Linked DNA regions of Caenorhabditis elegans. The protein of the gene in region 2 interacts with the protein of the main gene of each other region in a pairwise test. Each region holds a gene or a part of one and is shown on either strand. Other genes may lie near its edges.

What was found. The genes of interacting proteins can lie anywhere in the genome.
Region 1: the proteins of hmbx-1 (region 2) and nhr-49 interact in a two-hybrid assay, tested with the Caenorhabditis elegans proteins (2 studies listed by BioGRID).

Annotation. Positions count from the first base shown.
Region 1 is NC_003279.8:9,867,947-9,874,657, forward strand, and holds nhr-49 (Nuclear hormone receptor family member nhr-49), read left to right. Parts: upstream 1-1,771; coding exon 1,772-1,841; coding exon of another isoform or gene 1,842-1,845; intron 1,846-3,281; coding exon 3,282-3,379; intron 3,380-3,965; coding exon 3,966-4,107; intron 4,108-4,747; coding exon 4,748-5,103; intron 5,104-5,152; coding exon 5,153-5,716; intron 5,717-5,764; coding exon 5,765-5,875; intron 5,876-6,013; coding exon 6,014-6,178; downstream 6,179-6,711. Other genes in the region: K10C3.5 (Elongation factor-like 1), read left to right, coding at 649-984.
Region 2 is NC_003279.8:987,656-992,685, forward strand, and holds hmbx-1 (Homeobox-containing protein 1), read left to right. Parts: upstream 1-2,015; 5' UTR 2,016-2,027; coding exon 2,028-2,487; intron 2,488-2,865; coding exon 2,866-3,383; intron 3,384-3,840; coding exon 3,841-4,137; 3' UTR 4,138-4,523; downstream 4,524-5,030. UniProt on the Caenorhabditis elegans protein: Transcriptional repressor which maintains cell fate asymmetry of AWC neurons in adults by repressing the expression of multiple AWC (OFF) genes, including srsx-3 in the AWC (ON) neuron.

The DNA.
Region 1 (6,711 bases), 8.9 Mb from region 2:
TTAAAAACCGAAAATCCTGATAACTGATAAATTTAAATTTTACATGTTTTCAAAAAAAAAAAACACTAGAAAATTTAGAAAGAGTGCGATTTCGATGAAAATATTCAAGTTTTCAAAATAAAATTTCAAATTTACAAAAAATTAATTTTTAATTTTTTTTCCGAAAAAAAAATCCGAAATATTCTGATATAGCTCTAAAAATGACACTCGAAATTATGAAAAGTTAAATTTTGACCAAAATATTTAAGTTTTTCAATATATAATTTCAAATTTACAAAACTTTCCTTTTTTTTCAATTTTTCGGCTTCGAAAATTTCCTTTTTTTTGTTTTCGAATATAAACCTGAAATCCATGTCAATATTTAATGTGATTTGCCCATTGAGCATGTGAACGAAGTATTTAATTTTTGTAATTTTCGACGCATCTGTGCAAATAACGTATATATGGAGAGAATATAATGAATGAATCTTCTTTCCAACTATAATCTAAATAGATTTTATGGTTTAGTGTGCCGATTAAACAAATAAATACGGTATATCCAATCTCATTTATATGAGCATTTTGTTTCAAAAATTTCGAATTTTGACTATTACTTTAATGGCGTTGTATAAATACTAAATTTTAAATAAAAAATAATTTTGAATTCAGGTACTCTCCGAGGACATCAATGAAGCTACAAATTTATTCGAAGTGGTCTCCCTAATGCCCGTCGTCGAATCGTTCTCTTTCTGTGATCAACTTCGCAAGTTCACATCTGGAATGGCTTCTGCTCAACTTCAATTTTCTCACTGGCAAGTCATTGACGAGGATCCTTACTGGACGCCGTCTACATTGGAAGAAATTGAAGAATTCGGATTGAAGGGAGACAGTCCGAATCATGCAAGAGGATATATGGATGCAGTTAGAAGACGTAAAGGACTGCCAACCGAGGACCTGATTGTGGAGTCGGCGGAGAAGCAGAGGAATTTGAAAAAGAATAAATAATTTTTTTTTAGTTTCGTGATATTTTTTGTTGTTTGAATTTCCGGTTTTGACACATTTTAATCTTGTTGATTGTTTTACTTGTTTTTTTTTGTTCGTTTTTTTCAAAGAAATAATTAAATTGAAATCATCAATTTGAACTTTTCGAAAATATTTGCTCCAAAAATGTTAACTTATCATATAAGGCATATCTGAAACATTTTAATTTCACTCGGTTAACACTGTTTCATTCACGTGTGGTGGTGTCAACGACCTGATGGGTATAGCGTAGTACGGGAGAGAGGGTCGAGAGGAACTTTCTTACAATCTTTCTCTACCTCTTTTCATCTATTCATCTCTAAAGGTCTGCGCCTCTCCTGTTATCGATTGTCAACGTGCTGTGGGTGGTTGGCTGTCGTTGTTTGGTGTCTCTGTCAACTCCATTCTCTCTAGTTTTTCATATTTCTCGACATGTTTGACCAACCACTGTCTCTTTTTTGTCCTTCTAACCGACTGGCCTGCCAGCTTTAGCTTCTTCTTCTTTTTCACCATTTTCTTTTCTTTTTTTTTCGTTTCCTTTCTGTTTGCCAGTAGTTCAGCTTTTTTCCACAATCAAAAGTTCATAGATTTAATGACTGACTTTAAATGAGACGACGCCGGTCCCAATTAGCTTTGAGAGTACAAAGTACGGGGCATCGAACAACACTGAACTACATAATGTAGTCTCTCACTTCCTGTTTATATGGGGTGATTCGCAAACTCCTTGTATATACTCATCATTTTGTTAGTCAACTCATTCCGTTCTCACGATATGGACTACTTTCTTGATGCTTCTAAACATATTCAGTTGAATCAAATTGATGAAGAATCTTCAGATGATTGTAAGTAAGTTTTATAACGGACACATCAAGCGACATTGAAAGAAAGTCAACTTTTAAAATATCGACTTTCATGCCTTTTTGAATTTTCCACCAAACTGAGAACTACAAAACCAATCAGCGACTTGCTCATTGAAATCCAGAAATTAATAGAATGATTTTTGGATGGCTTCTTTGCAAAGTCCACTATATGGGTATATATGGATTTTTATACGTTCAAATAATATGTACATTTTTGAGTTTATTAACCTGGCTCTTCTAAAAGTTCTAAAGTAATTCAAATGCCCTTTCTCTTAGAACGTCATTCTTCGATGTGTCTCCTCATTTTCTACCAGAATTTACCAAACCCTACAACTGGATCCTCGTCGGTCACTTATTCGATGCATTACATCTCCTCGCTCCTTAGATATAGATCTTACGATCTTGGAGAGAAAAGGAACGACACTACTTAGCGCGACCGTCTATCTTATTCGATCCGTCGGACAAGATTGATCAAGAAGACTTTGAAATAGCATCCGCATTTAAGAATACCTCATTGGAGTGAGCAGAGAGAGAGAAAGACTACTGGAATCTTGCCGAACACATCGACCAGTTTTAGAGTGTGCCACATCAGTCCTTTTCTGATCTTCGCGTTTCCTTTTGTTTGCTCAAGACGGATGATTTCTCAATCTTCTCTACTTTCGCTACAATAGCAACACGTTTAGTCCTACACTACATCTGCTAAACTGGGAGGCTCGAAATTTCCGAGCTATCAAGTTTCGGCTTGCCCTTTCAATGTTCAAATTTCTACTTTTATTGGACTCGATTAGGATACTTTATTGAAAAACATTCTACATGAGCTTCGGTCTTTTTGAATATACGTTCAAAATTGTTCTATATTCAGAAACAATAAATTGAAAGTACCAAGTTTGTCCTTCTAGCAGTGGAAATTCTAATTATATGCTGCTGAATTATCTCCACATCCTCACCAATAAGGTCTAATATAAAACCTACAATTTCTGAACGCGGCCCATTCATCTGCCTAGTGGTCAATGCATCTCAATTGTGTGCACTTGCCGGTCCTTTATTATTAAGACAACATGCGTTCCACTCCTAAAGACACCATTGAAACACTATGACGTCATAGTCGATTTGCAATAGATACGGCAAATCGTTTTTTTTAATCCACCGTATCGTCAGGACATTTTACATTAGGCTTATCAATACTTATATTAAATTTTGTCTTATTTCTTGTGTGTCTATCATGTGTTAAAGCCATTGCATTGACTCTGATTTCTCTACTCGTCTGACACTCTCTCTACCTCCAACACTATTTCATCGTTTCCATGAACAAGTGACATTCGTCGTTTCTCTTTCACTTTGAAAACTTGCGTTGCTATCTGTTGTTTGGTTTTTTTCGTGTTTCATTTGTTTTTTTTGTTGTAAAAAGTTTAATTGTTTCAGTCATGGACCTAGTAGATCCTCTTGCGGAACCATGTGCCGTTTGTGGTGACAAATCAACTGGAACCCATTATGGAGTCATTTCCTGCAACGGGTGTAAGGTGAGAAGGGATAAATTATAAAATAATAAAAAATAAATTATATTTAGAATTATGTGAAATTATAAATTCAGTTCTCGTCACGAAAAATGATTTTGGAAATTATATTTTTTCCTTTTTTGAAAAATGAAAAATCTCAGTTTTTGCCACTTTTGGAAGTCGTTGATCAAAAAAATTGTTTCCTTATAATTTTATGGACTACTTATGTTTCAAATATTAATAATCAAACACTATAGGGATTCGATAAGCGACAGGGCTATAGTTTTCTCAAAAAGTGGCAAAAACTGTAATTGCCAGTTTTTACTGTCAATAAAAATTTTCTAACTTTTTTTGTTAACTTTGGTACCACAGGAGTAGTTTTTAAAAAACAATTTCCTCACTTTAAAGCAAAGTAATATTGACTCCACCTACAGTAACCCACGCTTTTCGCGCATGCTTTATTTGAAAACATATTGTTCGTGACGAGACCGAGTACTGTACTTTATGGTTGCAAAAGTTCGTATTAATTTAACTGGTTTTTGAAAGTTATGATTATCATCTCGAACTTTTTAATGATTTATCCCGCATTAATAAAACTCATGAATTTCAGGGATTCTTCCGCCGAACAGTTCTTCGTGATCAGAAGTTCACTTGCCGTTTCAACAAAAGATGTGTGATTGACAAAAACTTTCGATGCGCGTGTCGTTATTGTCGCTTTCAAAAGTGTGTACAAGTTGGAATGAAACGAGAAGGTATTCATTTCTCTTTCCGTTCAATATTTGAATATATCCAAAACACAGTGGCCTCATGTTTTTCACCAGTGACCTCTTTTCAATTTCGTCCGTGAAATGAGATCGGCCGCAAAAAAGATTCTAACTTGAGATATTGATTCGGAAATTTGCCCCGTTAACTCAGAATTTAGAATATATTCTTCTTTCTTTCCTTTTCCTGTCCGTAGATTCCATTTCAAAACACGATATTTCTAAAAAAAAATTGTTTCGTAGTTTTCTATCTAGAAAAAATAATTTTGGAGCAAAATATCGTATCTAATTCTACATACGTTTAAAATTTGGATGTTTTTTCATGTTTAATTCGTTATTTTAAAGAAGAAATAGAGTCATAATGACAGAACATAACTGTTAAAAATTGTATTAAATTTTGAATGATTTCTTTTTTTTTAAATTTACCAAAAAATTATATTGAAACAAAGCCACAATAAACATTACCGAAAAACGCAAAAATGTCGAAAATATAGTAAACTATAATTATATTTCATTCATTTTCGTGGGAATTCAAAAATACAAATTTTAACAACTATTTTCTGTCATTCAGGTCCATGTTCTATCATCTGAATCACATCCACGATCAATTCTACAATTTAATATATTTCAGCTATTCAATTCGAACGTGATCCTGTAGGTTCACCAACATCTGGAGCCAGTCTCAACGGGACTCCATTCAAAAAAGACAGAAGCCCCGGATACGAGAACGGAAACAGCAACGGTGTCGGATCAAACGGTATGGGACAAGAGAATATGCGAACAGTTCCACAATCCAGCAGTGTCATTGATGCTTTAATGGAGATGGAGGCTCGTGTCAATCAAGAGATGTGTAATCGATACCGAAGATCGCAAATCTTTGCAAACGGCAGTGGGGGGTCGAATGGAAATGACACAGATATTCAACAAGGAAGTGATTCTGGAGCATCGGCATTTGCACCACCAAACCGGCCATGCACAACCGAGGTAGTGAGTTGGATGGTACGTAAATTAAGAGGTCACATTGTTTTATTTTCAGGATCTGAATGAAATCTCCAGGACAACACTTTTATTGATGGTTGAATGGGCAAAAACAATTAATCCATTCATGGATCTTTCGATGGAAGATAAGATCATTCTACTGAAAAACTATGCACCACAACATCTCATTTTGATGCCAGCATTTCGAAGTCCCGATACAACTCGAGTTTGTCTCTTCAACAATACTTATATGACACGTGACAATAACACTGACCTCAATGGATTTGCTGCATTCAAAACAAGCAATATAACACCCAGAGTTCTTGATGAAATTGTCTGGCCAATGCGACAACTTCAGATGAGAGAACAAGAATTTGTATGTTTGAAAGCACTTGCATTCTTGCACCCAGAAGCCAAAGGACTCTCGAATAGCTCACAGATTATGATTCGTGATGCTAGAAATCGTGTTTTGAAAGCTCTTTATGCATTCATTCTCGATCAGATGCCAGATGACGCACCCACAAGATATGGAAATATTTTGTTGTTGGCACCGGCTCTCAAGGCTCTGACTCAGCTGCTCATTGAGAATATGACACTTACAAAGTTCTTCGGATTGGCAGAGGTATGAAAGCTTTTCTTGTTTGAATCCGTACATAAATGATAGCTTCAGGTGGATTCTCTGCTCTCCGAGTTCATTCTCGACGACATCAATGATCATTCGACGGCTCCGGTCTCTTTACAGCAACATCTTTCATCTCCGACAACGTTACCGACTAATGGGGTTTGTTTTTAATTATTTTATTAAACTTTTTATTCTAAAAAAATACAAAAATAGCGAAAACGGCCAATGATTTCAGGGAAAAACCGTAAAATTCTCTTTTTAAAAAAGATCTTCCATTTCAAAATTCATATTTTTCAGGTATCTCCGTTAAATCCAGCCGGATCAGTGGGAAGTGTTTCGTCTGTTTCTGGAATTACACCAACTGGAATGCTCTCAGCAACTCTTGCAGCTCCATTGGCAATTCATCCTCTCCAATCACAAGATTCCATTTTGAACAGTGAGCAGAATAATCATATGCTCTAATAATTCCATTTTTTCTCCCAAAACTCTTCACCTCATCTCATCTCCAGTTCTATTCCGAATCTGTGATCTTTCATCTTTTCCCTTATTGTTGTTTTGAATCATTACCCCCAATTTATAAAATAGTCCAGAGCCCAGCTATAATGTACATAACAAAAGAAGAATACCCTTCCGTCTCAGTAGTTGTTTCATCTTGAAACCTGTCTAGGCCATCTCTATATCATATCAGGTTATTGTTCTCGTCTCCCCCAACTCTTCTTCCTTAATCTTTTTTCCAGACGGGCTGGCTCTCGTTTATTCTTGTGATTATTATTGTCAATCAAATTATCAGTTTAGTACTTCAATATGTATAAGAAGTGACTGTCTTGGCATTTCCCATCTCTATTTAGAAGATTCCCTTCTTCCCATTTTCCTTCCTTCTTTTCAAGCGTTCGTACCAATTTATGTTTGCAAAAAGAAACTTTTATTTATACTTTTTCAAAGCTCATCGATAAAATACATTATTATACCATATTTTATTATTCGTATCAAATAAA
Region 2 (5,030 bases):
GCAAATTTTCATCCAAAATCATGTCATTCTAACAAGAGCCTATCATGTTGACTATAGGGTCGTGACGACCTGCTCGAGTTCGCCTCGCTCTCCTGTTATCAGAATAGCTATGCGTTAAGTACGCGATGTATTGACAGTCACGATTTAACGCTTCAGTTTTGTAGTTTTGCTGGAAATTTTTGAGTTTTTCGTTTTTTCTTGGCTCAAATCGAGTTTTGCTTTTTTGACGATTAAATAATTTATTCAAACTTAGCGCATTTTTTGACTGATTGTGAGACATGATGCATCGTGACAGGGCTTAATCGTGGCGAGACCCTCTAGTACAAAATTCTTTTAAATATCAGTAAAAGCATTATAATCCATGATTCTATACTTATTTTATGGAATTTTCAGCCTTAAAAAAATCTGAAATTTACGATGCTAAAATCTACTCAAATTATAGTTTCAATCCAAAATTTCTCAGAAAAACTAAAATTAGCATAAAAATGTTTTGTCTGAAATAGCCCTAGATTCAAATATCCCTAACACCCCAAAAAACACCAATGTACATCTCCTCTCCGTAAATATGTAGTTTTACAACCGCCTCTCTGTTGACTGGGAGCCATAAATGTAGATATATTATCTTTCCAGATCGCCTGCCGGCCCCTCCCACCTGATTGTAAAACTGCTCTTTGCTGTGGCGTTTTATCGACTTGTTTTTCTTATATATTCCATTCTACATACCTTAACACATTTTCTTGTATATTTTCTATACACTTTTTTAACTATAAAAAAATGCAACTCCTTTTTCTTCGATTTCTTTTTATGCAAATTTTTTGGCTTAAAGGTGGAGTAGCACCAGTGGGGAAATTGTTAAAAACCACTCCTTTGGTCCGAAAAGTACCGAATATCATAATAAAACTTTTCAATATTTTTTTGAAATTTTTTTATTCACAGTCAAAAAGTGACAATTACTCAGTTTTTGCCACTCATAATTTTGGAAGTCGACCAAAATGTTTTTTCTAGATTTTTTATAATGTAATTTTGTTTTAATTATTTGTATTAAAACATTGTAGGACAAGACAGGGCCGCAACATAAGATATTGCTTTGAATTTCCTCAAAAGCTCATATTTTTCAGAATTTTGGCAATTTGCCAAAACTTGGTATTTAAAAATTGTTAGAGATAACTGTATTTAGACAAAACATAGAACATTTGTATTTCAAAATAGTTCAAAATTCTAGTTTTTGAAATTTTGCGGCCAGACTGACCCCCACGATGCACCATGACAAATTGCAATTTTTTTTTCAAAAATTGTTTTCCAAAGGGGCGTGTTCCAAACATCTGACCCAAGTTTTCCCGTAGTTCTTCTCTCCCCCAGCGGGGTAAACACTGCACTTTACGACTCCGCCCAGTGCTTTTTTTTTCGCAGAAACTGAGAGAGAAAGAAACATCTGCGTCTCTCTCCCCCAGTACGCTCGTTCCCGCCCCCCACCTCGATCTGCCAGACCACACCGACCTGATTCGAGATTCCTTTTCTTATATGTATATGTTTTTGGAGAGGTGATCTTGTTTTTTTTGTTTCTCCTTTGGTTTTGTTCTCTATGCTCTGAACTTTGGTCTCCTACTTTTCTACAGTTTTTTTTTAAATATCCAAATTTTTGAAATAGAGGGTTGATCTACATGACCCCCATGCTTAGTCTACTATAATGCTATATCTGATGTTCCTCCGAATGGCCTGGTAGGTGAAGGCTTTTAGCCCAGTGAGCCGGCTTACCAAGTCTAGGACCATGGTTCTTACAACTTAAGGCCCAAAAAAAGCAGGCATCTGGCCTAACTTCCCCCTCACTAAATCTGTAGTAATATATAATTTCTATCATACTCCATCTTTTTTTTCTACCTCTTATCATGTTGTTATTGAGCAGCAACGCCCTTATATTGTTTGGTATATATATTTGATATAAAACCTCGTAGTAAATTTTATTTTACACAACAACATTTATTATTTACTTTTTTCATACTATTTTTTTTTTGCAGAACGAAAAAAAAATGCTATTCACAATTGAGCAACTGGAGCTCATCAAAAAGCTGCAGCACACCGGGATGTCATCCGATCAGTTGCTCAAGGCTTTCGGCGAGCTGGAAGTTCCAGAGCAGCTTCAGAATAACAACACAATTGCCGCAGCCCTGTACAGCCCACTCCTGGTCCAACATCTCACAACACCCAAATCAGAGACTCCAGTCAAACTCACCGTGCAGACAGTGCCGACACCTGTGAAGTCAGAGCCACAATCTTCAAATTGCTCATCACCATTTGAGCATCCGATATGCTCGAATGCTCCGCGGCCGATTAGGAGTCAGCGAACGCCGATGAAGGAGATTACCACACTGGACGATCCGAATGAGCTGGAGGAGTTTATGAAGCAGGGCGAGGAGGCGTGCATTTTGGATATGAAGACGTTCATCACACAGTACTCGTTGCGGCAGACTACGGTAGCAATGATGACAGGTTAGTTCCCAAAAAAGTGTAGTGGAAGAGTTTTTTTTCTAAAATCTAGGCCGTGACCAGAAATAAATCAGAATACATCCCCGGCGCCTAGATTCCTAATCTCTGCTGTTAGCCACAGTGCAATTGAGTATTACTGTAGTTGATTCCTTCTATGACGTCATATGAAATAAAGTTGGCTAAAGGGAAAAGGGGACTCTGGATCTTAGGCGAGCAATTCTCTGCAGCCGGCACCAGAATCGATCCCCCGGTGCCTGGATATCTATCCTTCGCTGTTAGCCACTGCGATATGCCCCACCCGCGCTGAGATCGAACCGAGGCGTCTGAATTCCTAGGCGAAGTTGCTACCCACTGCGCCATGTCAATCTTCTAAATTTCCAGGAGTAAGCCAGCCGTACATTTCAAAATTGCTCAACGGCAACCACCGTGAACTATCGCTCCGTTGCCGTAAGAACATCTACTGTTGGTACCTGAACTGCCGACGTCATCCCAACAAACTCGCTGCCTTCCTCGCCGATCCGACAACTCGCCTCGAGACGAATGGAGATGGCGAGCTGATCCCACAACGTCGAGAACGCTACGTGTTTCGTCCAATTCTGATCCGAATGCTCGAATCGTTCTTCACACAAACGCCATTCCCAGATCTTCCACGGCGAGTCGAAATAGCGAATGCTTGCAATCACGTTCTGAAGATGGATAAGAAAGGTGTTGGGTTGATGCCAAAGGAGGTGGTCAGCCCTCAAGTCGTTTCGAATTGGTTTGCAAATAAGCGGAAGGAGTTGAGAAGAAGATCCGCTGAAGCTTCGGCCGCCTCCACCTCGTCCGCTTCGTCTTCTGCGTCATCGACTGCTAATCATGATTCTGTCAGTGTGTCCAGCATGAGCCCTCGCGATGAAGAGGTGAGAGTTTTAATTTCTCGGCCACGCTGTACTCTGGGTGGAAGAATTTTTTCTAGGTCTTATAAGGAATCGCCCTCCGGTTTTCCCACAAGTTAAGTCATAAACATGTACCATCTAGAGGTTAAATTTCTGGAGTTTTATTTATTTGAGAGTGATGGTAAACCTGTCAGTCCTTGGCAAACATGTGTCTGTTTGGTCTCAAGGTCTAGGTCTAGGTCTAGGTCTAGGTCTAGGTCTAGGTCTAGGTCTAGGTCTTGGTCTAGGTCTAGGTCTAGGTCTAGGTCTTGGTCTAGGTCTAGTTCTAGGTCTAGGTCTAGGTTTAGATCTAGGTCTAAGTCTAGACACAAATTTCTAGGCCACGAAAATTTCTGCCGTGGCCTAGGATTTTTTAGGCCATATTCTAGGCCATGATCCAAAAAAAACTTTCCCTGTCTCCTCTAACCCATTTTTTTTGCAGACAAGCTCCCGTAACACAACCCCGGAGACAGCAATCTCCCCGTCACCAGCAGTGTCCACTTTTGAAGTGTCCCGCCCGTCTGCCATCATCTCTGCCACGTCATCAACAACCTCGCCAATCTCAATTCCAGCAACAATCATTCCATCAGTATCGCCGTCAGCTCTCGAACTTTTCGCCATGGCCCAACAGCTTGGAGTTCAGCTTCCGGTTCCATTTCCAACATTGCCAACACACTTTTTCCCGTTTCAAATGGCTCCGTTCTACGGGAACCCGGCTTCTATTTTGAAGTCTGAGTGAAGCATTTCTAATTTTCTTTTCTTCTTTTCTACACCAATATCTTTTTTCCATTTATTCAACTTATTCTTCATCCCATGACACGAAAACCTCAATTCTTTCATATTACAAACGATGCTCCGTTTCTTACGCCCTGCCCCACACACGCCCCGTCGTCCAAAAATCAATCAATAATCGATTTTTCATAATATTTAATTTGTTTTTTTTGTGTTTCACTGCTGTTTTAATATTTGAAAAGTACGAGTTTCTTCAAAAACATTTTTTGAATAATATTTGCTTCACACTCCACGCGTTTCGTAATGTATCGCTTGCCCTGAAATTTTGTTGGAAATTCCATTTTTTGTGCAATTTTTGTTATTTTTCAAGCGAGAATAAATATTTTCTAGTTCTAGAATTCAATGAAATACTTTGCAAACGCGCCCCATTGCACTTGACCGAGGGGTGAAACAAGTTCAGTGTTTTCAAGATATTTTTTTTTAAAAACTTGAATTTGGAACAATACAAAAATCTGTAAAATGCAACAGTTTTCCAAATCTTGTCCACGTGGAGTACACAATAATTTTTCATCTATACGGAAAGATTTCAAAATTGGAATGTTAAATTATTTTGTGGTTTCTAGGCCATGGGAAAACTAGGCCATCAAAAAAATTCCAGAGTGACCTGGAAGTTCTAAAACTTTGTTGAAACTTGTCCACGCGGAGTACACTGGTAGTTTATCAATAGAGCGCAAGTAATAATCCCTTGGAATTTTCCTTTCACCACCCCCTCTCCATTTTATATGAGAGTTTTTTCCCTCGCAATTTCCCACGCTCAAGAGGGTGGCCGCCATTTTTTTTTTGAGGGGGGTCGTATCTAGATTTGAAACACGTCATTTATGCTCAAAATGTGCCAATTTT